Caenorhabditis elegans: one gene and its partner. The protein of the gene in region 1 purifies or fractionates together with the protein of each later gene. This does not show direct contact. Each region holds a gene or a part of one and is shown on either strand. Other genes may lie near its edges.

Evidence for each region.
Region 2: the proteins of F16G10.2 (region 1) and lsm-8 fractionate together in Caenorhabditis elegans (co-fractionation; one large-scale study listed by BioGRID). This does not show direct contact.

The regions. Positions count from the first base shown.
Region 1 is NC_003280.10:2,373,485-2,376,969, forward strand, and holds F16G10.2 (DUF281 domain-containing protein), read left to right. Parts: upstream 1-1,788; coding exon 1,789-1,902; intron 1,903-2,024; coding exon 2,025-2,267; intron 2,268-2,318; coding exon 2,319-2,503; intron 2,504-2,828; coding exon 2,829-2,847; 3' UTR 2,848-2,927; downstream 2,928-3,485. Other genes in the region: F16G10.3 (Lipoprotein), read left to right, coding at 274-410, 455-654, 821-836.
Region 2 is NC_003282.8:6,324,898-6,329,990, forward strand, and holds lsm-8 (U6 snRNA-associated Sm-like protein LSm8), read left to right. Parts: upstream 1-1,628; 5' UTR 1,629-1,635; coding exon 1,636-1,719; intron 1,720-1,946; coding exon 1,947-2,062; intron 2,063-4,211; coding exon 4,212-4,308; 3' UTR 4,309-4,582; downstream 4,583-5,093. Other genes in the region: sqd-1 (RRM domain-containing protein), read left to right, coding at 1-336, 414-538; Protein seu-1, read left to right, coding at 4,742-4,756, 4,870-5,093.

The sequences.
Region 1 (3,485 bases):
ATCAAATATAGAGAAAAAATCGAGAAAAATCGACGAATTTAGCCAGAAAACGCGACAATATCCAAAATGACGTCATTCATTTGTGATTTTCTCAAAATTGAAAAAATCATAAAAAATTTAGAAAATTTTTTAAAATTTTTTTACAGTTATATTCGGTTATTAGGGTCCATTTTCTGTCATTTAAAGCAAAAAAAAATTTTTAACTCTACTCCACCTTTAAATTAGAGCATCATCACTAACTTTTTCAATGTTTTGATATTTTTACAACTTTAGACGAAGTACAAACTGTTGACCAAGATGGCTGCACTGTATTAAAATGTCCCGCAGGCAAAACTCCAGCTGTCTCTTCTCTTTATGATAAAAGTGAAATACCAGCGCCTATTGATGCTGATGCCGATTATATGACGTTTGTAGGTAAACTCTTTTTCAATCTGAATGCTTAAAATTATTTTAGGGAAGTATAAATAAAGATTCAATGGCCGACATCAACGGAGACATGATTTTTGAATATTTTGGAGCAATGTGTGAAGGCGGTGAATTAATATACACAAATTATCCTGATGGAATAGCGTATGTCAAAGATGGAAACATGGCATATACTGGCCCAGATGCATCGTATAACGGAAAGAAGTCTAAAGTGACTACGATCTATTGGTGGGTCATAAATTTTAAAGTTTCTAGGAAAATTTCAAGTTAGATGTGAGAATAAGGTTTTTTTTAACCGCGAAAACAATTAGAATAAAATTTTTGTTTAAAACTGGAAAGTCTTTAAGTTAGTTTCACAACTCTTATCTCATTTTTGTTGTATTTATTGTTTCAGCACTGATCAAGTGTAAATTGGATGAGGATTGAATTAACAATTGATACATCGTATTTCTCATTTGAATAAAACGATTTGATTTAAAAAAAAATAGCATTGATTTTTACACATTCGCGGAATACAATAATCGACACCCCAAGGGTTGAATATGACCGAGAAATGATACTCAAGACGTAAGAAGTTGAGGAGGATGTATAATAAAAATATCACACAAACCAGACAAGTTTGGGCAAGAAATAGCTTGAAAGGGATCTAATTTAGACGTGTCAAGAACGGTTTTTGGCTGACTTTCTCGAAAACGTTATGGCGGTTCAAAGTTTTTATCTGGATAATGTCTTATTTCTACTGATATACTTCTTGAAATATCTGAACTATCTGGTTTAATTTTCTAAACTCTTATCAGTTAGAATTCTAAGAGACCAGTGTAATTATCATATAATGTACCTGCAAATGGATGCAAAATGGATGCTAATTTCCGGCCACTGTGGAATGATAATCACTTTCTATAAAAATTCTGCCAATATCCCAGAAGAACAAGGGCGATGTACTTCAAAATGTACTTTTTCATGTTTATGACTCTGTGTTTGTTTGGCCACGTGGAAGCCAAATGTATTGCCAACACACCATCAACTGTGAGTTTAATGATTTCATAAAAATGTTATTTTAGAACTAACTTCTTAATAAGTATTTTCAAATATGTACGCCTAGTTTTGACGAATGCATAGTTCGACTAAATTGACTAATTTGCTCTTTTTACTTTCGCCATTCCCTTCTCGAAAGTCGATTCGTATTCATTAGCCCATCCGTCTTTATGACATAATTTATTCCTTTTCCAAACCCAAGACCGCTTTATCGAGGTGTTATTCGGGCTTTTATTACTTCTTTTAATGCTTTACGCATAGGAATAGGAATGGATTAGTAGTTAAAATCATTATATCAAAGTTTTCCTCCCTACTTCTCGTTTTATTATGAATACTGTAACGTCATGTTCCCTTCTGTTATGCTTGATGGTAATAACAGAAAGTTGCATGCGAACAGTTCCACCGGATGAAGCCTATATTCCTGTCACCATGGCTCCTGATGTATGTGATTTTTTTCTGAATTTAAACTGCTATGGAAGCGCTTCCAATATTCCAATTTTCTTAAAGAATTGTCATTCGGAAATCTGTTAAAAAATCAGTTTTAAAAAAAATCAAGTATTTAGGAATGCCTGGACATCAAAACTTCGCCGTGTGGAGATTTGGAATCGTTGTTTGAAAGTAAGTCCATTATCCATTTTCGATTTTCTCTCTCCATTATCGTTTTCTCTCTCACACCCGTGGAGCACGTTGAGAAAGACGGCTGCGAAGTGTTAACTTGTCCCGATAACCAAGTGTTTCTTGCACTCTCTTCTTTTGATAAAAGTGAAGTACCACGGCCATCTGAAGTGCCGGAAACCCAATCATTTGTGAGTGAAAGGATAATATCTTTCATCGGAAAAGTATGAAACAATTTATAGCAAATCACCTCAAAATTGACGGGAACCGATGGTGAGAGTATAACTGACCTTTTGGGAATCATTTGTGATGGCGATAAATGGATGATCACGAAATATCCAATTGGATTTGCTGCACCTCCTGCTGGTTTAATTGGTGCAGATGGTTCGATGGATGGGAAAAAATCTGAAGTTTTAAAGTTGGCGTGGTAAGTGGGGGCCTATTTAAAAATTATGATTGTTACTGAGAATTTCAAAAGATTGAAGTAAACTTAGCGTTTTATTCAGTTGAAAACAGTAGTTGTACATATGCAAACTGTTTTGTCTTGAAGAAAAAAACAAAAAAAATTGTAAAATTGTGTTACAAACCTTGAGGTTTGTCTACACTTTGCAGTGAGTTGTTGGGGATTAGCTTGATTTAGAATTAGCTAGATATAGATATTAGCTAGATTTAGGAATCTATAAAAAGTAAACTACACACTGTTATTATGTGGACTTTCAAGTTATTTCCATAGTATTTTTTTTTTGTTTCAGTGCTGATATTTCCGGATAGGTCTATGGATGGAGAACAAGTTACTGGATTATTCATTTACATTATTCTTGTTCTGCGAATAAACAATTTTTGAAACATGTATAATTTTGTGTACAGACCAAAAATGAATATATGTTAAAAAATAAGTTAGCAAAAAGTGATGTCAATTTGCATTCCCGGGTGAAACGGTACAACTCACAATTAGAACAATACATAAATGTATTGAAAAGCATTCCAAATTTTCATCTCGTGATACATGAGCAGTGTTCTAGAGAACACAAAAATATAAGAGTTGAATTTTTTCCCCCGTTTCAGCGACTTTTTATTTATTTCCTTTGTCTTATACAATACTTTCCAGCATGAATTTTTCATACTGCAGACGGGATCATTTATCGTTTTATGACTTGCCTAAAACGCGGATCAAGCTGGCTCTAAAAATAGTGGCTCATAAATTATTTAAGATCTACTAATTTAATTTGAGTCTAGTTTGCCACCTCATGAATTGGAGGAAGAATGCGAAGTTACATTTGTAAATGATATTTATATCGTATTTCTCCTTTGATTAAAACAATTTATTTTGAATAAAGAGTATTAGTTCTTACACAATACAGGAATGCAATAATCGACTTTTTATTTGCCATGTGTCGCTGGCTGATAGT
Region 2 (5,093 bases), on another chromosome or scaffold:
TCGTATTCGAGGAGGAGGAGTCCGCAGACAAAGCATCTTCCCAGACAAAACAGACCTTCGGAACTCGCGAATGTGACGTGAAAAAAGCAGTTCCACAAGGAAAACGGTTCCCAGGCGCCCAAGGGCGTATGCCAGGTGGTCGCGGAATGTATGGTGGACGTGGTGGAAATAACAACTCGGGATGGTATGCTGGATGGGGACAAATTGGAGCTATGCCATACGGAGCTACTGGAGCAGCTTGGGGAGACTGGTACGGAAACGGTTATTACGGCCAACAAGGTGCAGCACATCACAACAACAGCGGATCATCGCAAGGTTACGGAAGCGGATACCAGAGTTAGTTTTGTTACTATTTGATTCCATGTCTTGTGACTCATTCCACAAGGAATGCATCAGTATACTTATTCTATCAGGTTTTGCAGGAAATAACAGTGGATTCGATTACCAACAAGCTCAAGGAGCCAGACAGGGCAACAATGGCCAACCACGCTTCCAACAGCAGCCACAACAACAAACTGCTCAAGCCCAACAGTTCTAAATGTGCCTTCAGAACATCACCTCAATCACCATCTGAAATGCCTCCATCACAGTCCTCTTCAGAATTCCTGTTTCCTTCCTACCTAATCTTTCAAAAAATGTCCAAATTGTTTTGTCCTCACGCCCAGACTCAATCAAAAGCAGTTACAAATCGACCCTAAATTTCTAACGCGCGTTTTTCTTTAATTCCTTTTTTGGCAATGACGATCTGAGATGTGTTGTTCCCGAGGTTGAATTTTATATCGAACCAGTTTGTTTTGTTTCTCTGATTCTCACCCAAACTATCATCGACTCTCAACTTTTTTCCGTTGGTAATCTTTGATTTGAATAACTCCAGGAATAATAATAACATACTTTTGTTGTTTTAGATGATGTTCTTGTGAACATAATACTTTATCCACCCGCCTTTTTAGATGTGTAGAAGTACTTTATTTCCATCAGTTTTTTCAGTCATTTTTTGTTGTTTTAATTGTTTCGCTCGTTTTTTCTTTGAGCGATTCTGCGGCAGAAAACAAACTGTATTTTTACTTCTCTTCCCTAAAGTCTGTATGCTTCGCCCCCAATTTTTGTCTTTTAGTTGTTGTTATGGTGCTTTTTCCTTTGTTCAGGAACTGGTAACCAATTAGACTGTGCAATTCACTGTAGTTGTCAAGTATATTCACATTGAATTGTGCAGTTAGTTGTTAATTTCCCTCATCTCATTGAAGTGTATCTGATGAATCGTCAGGTGTCCCGTCTTCGTCTAATCTCACAACACCCAGCCACCCAACAAAAGCTTCTCCCTTTTTCTCCTTCGTTTTTTGCCAATCTCACCCGTAAATTCGCTCCCAAAAGCCCCCCCCCAACCGATTCTAATAACTGCCTCTTCGTTTGACATGTTATTTGTTGTCACATTCGTTTTTAATGTATGATAGATTCATGTCAAACATTTGTGTTGATATTAAGCTGAGAATGAAATTTTTGAGGACTAGTTGTTCTTATATTATCATTAAATTTTTATGCTTCATGAATTGAATGCGAACAGGTGGGTTGCCGTGAAAAATATCTCACTTGGGAACAATAAACTTCAATATTTAGAAGTCAATTTTCAGATAAAATATGACTTCAACTCTAGATGCGTACATGAATCGGATGGTGAACGTGGTCACTGGTGATGGTCGGGTTATCGTTGGACTTCTGAAGGTAAAATATCTAGAAAGAAATGTTGCTTCTGCACTTGGCGACAAAGGTTCGAGCCTTTGTCAAGAAATTTCAAAAATGCAGCACATCTTGATTATTATAAAACACGAGATTTTGAATCCCAACTTTGAAGAAATTGTTCAAAAAGACTGAGCTTATGTGTCGGATTAAATAATTAAATTATGTTACCTTTTAAAATTTCAATATTTTATTCAATTATACAATTTTAGGGATTCGATCAATTAATCAACTTGGTGATTGAAGATGCTCACGAAAGGTCGTATTCTGAGACGGAAGGTGTGCTCACGACACCATTGGGACTATATATTATTCGAGGAGAGAATGTGTAAGTTGAAAATTGACGGGACATAATTTAAAAATCGATTTTACCTTGTCACGGTGCTCTGCTTTTGGAATTTATAGGTTTTCTGCGACTAAAATTAGTTGTTGATGAAGAGTTTAGAAATGTCTCTTCTTGAATATCTACTTCATTTATTCCGATGAATTTTACTTCCGAGTTCCCGTACCACCCAATCCGTGGGTCAAACGATCAACAAACCCTCGAAAACATTGGACTCGGCATGCTTTTCCTTCCATTCCGTGCACATTATCGAAAAACTGACCAATTGTTTCAATTGAGTAGTGGCGGAGCCGCCTGCTTCAGCAAAGAAGCTCTTGATCATGTACGAGAGTGTTAAAAACCAAGACAGTTTTTATTGCTCAAAATCCATGGTCTTCTCTTGTTGAGAGGAGATGTTGGACTTTTAATAAAAGACCGGGTACAAATGTTGAACATTTGGAGCATTTTATCTGGATTTTTTTTTCACATCGCCCCATTAAACCTTATAAAAAGCTTCACATCGCCTTGCTTGTTGCAAATTCGCTCTATCGCCATTCTTCAATCTTTTCGAATCTAAAAACTCGTTGGTCATTATGTACTCTCTATTTCACCCGGTCTCTCTCTTCTGTTCTTTCTTTTGGAGTGCTCTACGGACCAATTGCTTCAAATGAATTATCGATTTTTTAAATTGTCGCGTTAGAATAGTTTCTCTGTGTTAAAACAGATCGACCTAATTTCAATTATCATCAAGAGTTTTTTTTTCTATTCGATTCAATCTTTTCCGATGACATTAATCATCCGTTTTTTATAATGTTGCACCCATGCGATGATAAGATTTAATTGTGGTCGTTGACTATCAGTGCTGAGAATGGAATTTTCTCGTTCAATTCACTTCAAAACGGGTCAATGTTATCATCTCAGAAACATCAAATTGATTTTACTTCATTTCTTCCAGTTGAATATTTTCTATAACGTTCCGTCGACATACCTTCGCCAGTCAACATTGAGTCATCATTTAAAAAAAAAAGAAAGGTGCAAGTAGTCCTGGTACCTGATGTTCTATAACAACCAGATCAAGTGCTTCTGTTGTTCCTTTGATCATTCAGCTTTCGGCAGCCGTCTAAAAACATAGCAACTGGTCGTTTCTTGTGCTCTGTTACGGTCGGAAACACGGAAAAGTCGGGGAAGCATGACGTGTCAAAACATCTCTTCCAATCGTTCGGCATTTTCTCGCCCTCAATCACAATTTGATGCTTGACCAATATGATTGCCCGAAGCCTTGCAGCAGCACCAGCAATTTATTTTGTTTGTACTCTTCACATTTTCGCCGGCAACAAAAAAAAACAACGAAAGAGGGAAATAGTTATAGTGAACGAGAGAACGAATACGAAAATGGACAACGCGATGGGAAAAATGTTGAAAAAGTATCCGTTTTCCTATTCTATGTCGGAGCTTCACAACTTGCTTACTAGGTTTTCAGTTTTCAGTTTTACTTTGTCGTTTCTATCTGAAAAGCGCTTATAGTTAAAACATATTCAGTTAAGTTCCAAACGAACTAAAACTTTAAAAAAAAAACTCCTCGTTGAGCGAATGCGATTGATTATTTTATTGAAGTCTCTAAATTGGCTCTTCCAGTCTCTGTTCAATACCTAATTGTTTTCTGATTAGTTTCATTATATTTATTGATTTTTCGTTTCCGATACACCACTCTTCTCTATACTCCACTCCAAATGTCAAGTGATAAATACTCATATTTCGAAATAGTTTATTTTTGGATAGGATACCCCTTCTGGCCCTATTCATGTCCCATTCAAAACACAATTTTATGAAATCTTTTCTCACTTTTCGTCAGTGTAATATAGCTGGAAAAGATTAATGTAGACATGCGTCAAATGTCCGAAACTTTCACAATTTCACACCTTTCAATTCATTCCGTTCGAACTTTGTTCAAAGAAAATGTGATTCCATGAAAAAAGTGTTCGGAACCTGTTCTGTTTCCCTCTGGAGAGGGGTGGAGAAATTATCGGAACACTTTTTCATTGCAAAAGTTGAAACTAAACTTTTAAAGCTATGATGTATATATATATAAAGACCAATTCTGCAACTACTGTAGATTTTTCCAAATGTTTCTTTTTGAAAATCTATCATTTTTCAGAGCGATTATCGGTGAAATCGATGAAGAACTCGACAAACGCGTTGATCTGGAAAATGTGAAAGCGGCCCCACTTGCACCAATTTGGATTCCCCAATAATTTCCACACAAATCGATATTCTGCATTGACGCGTTGTATTGACTGGTTATTCTCATCGTTTCCCCCCACCATTTCTTCTCCCCATTTAAATCATTTTTCCCAAACTATTCTCCATTCTTTTCTTGTTTCCTTGACGGTTTTGTATTCATACCATCGTTTCTTTACCATTTTTGGATCTCTAATTTCCTCTCAAATATTGTGAAAATTTATACATATTTATTTGCTTTGTTTTTAATAGTTAATGTATTAAATATGCATTTATTCAAATTGCAACGTCATTGTATTTTTTCGTGTTTCAACCGTTTGTTTATCGGTTTAACATTTCTTTTTTTAATATCGTTTCCTCGTTGAACTTTGCCATTTCACAGAAATAACCTTGCAGAAAATATTCCAGTGCTCGATTTCAACGGAATATACGGATCGAAGTTGCAAAATGAGCAGTATCAGAGTGAGTTAAATAGAATGGGGAAAGGATAATTTTGAACAAGAGTTTTTGCGCGTTTTTCAACTTTCCTACCAGAATAAAAGCATAAAGTAAAAATCGATAAACATTTTTTCCAGAACCAGAACGACAATCGTCGACCAACATTCCGTGATCATCGTACACCACAATTTAGCGGTCGTGGTGGTAGTGGTGGTGGCGGACGCCGTCTTCAAAATCCAGCTCATTATCCACAACGCAGAGATATGTCGCCGATTCGCAGATCTTCAGCAATTTCACCAGTCAGACGTTCACAGGATCATCGCCAACGTTCGCCTGAAGTTCGACGTCATCGATCACCGGA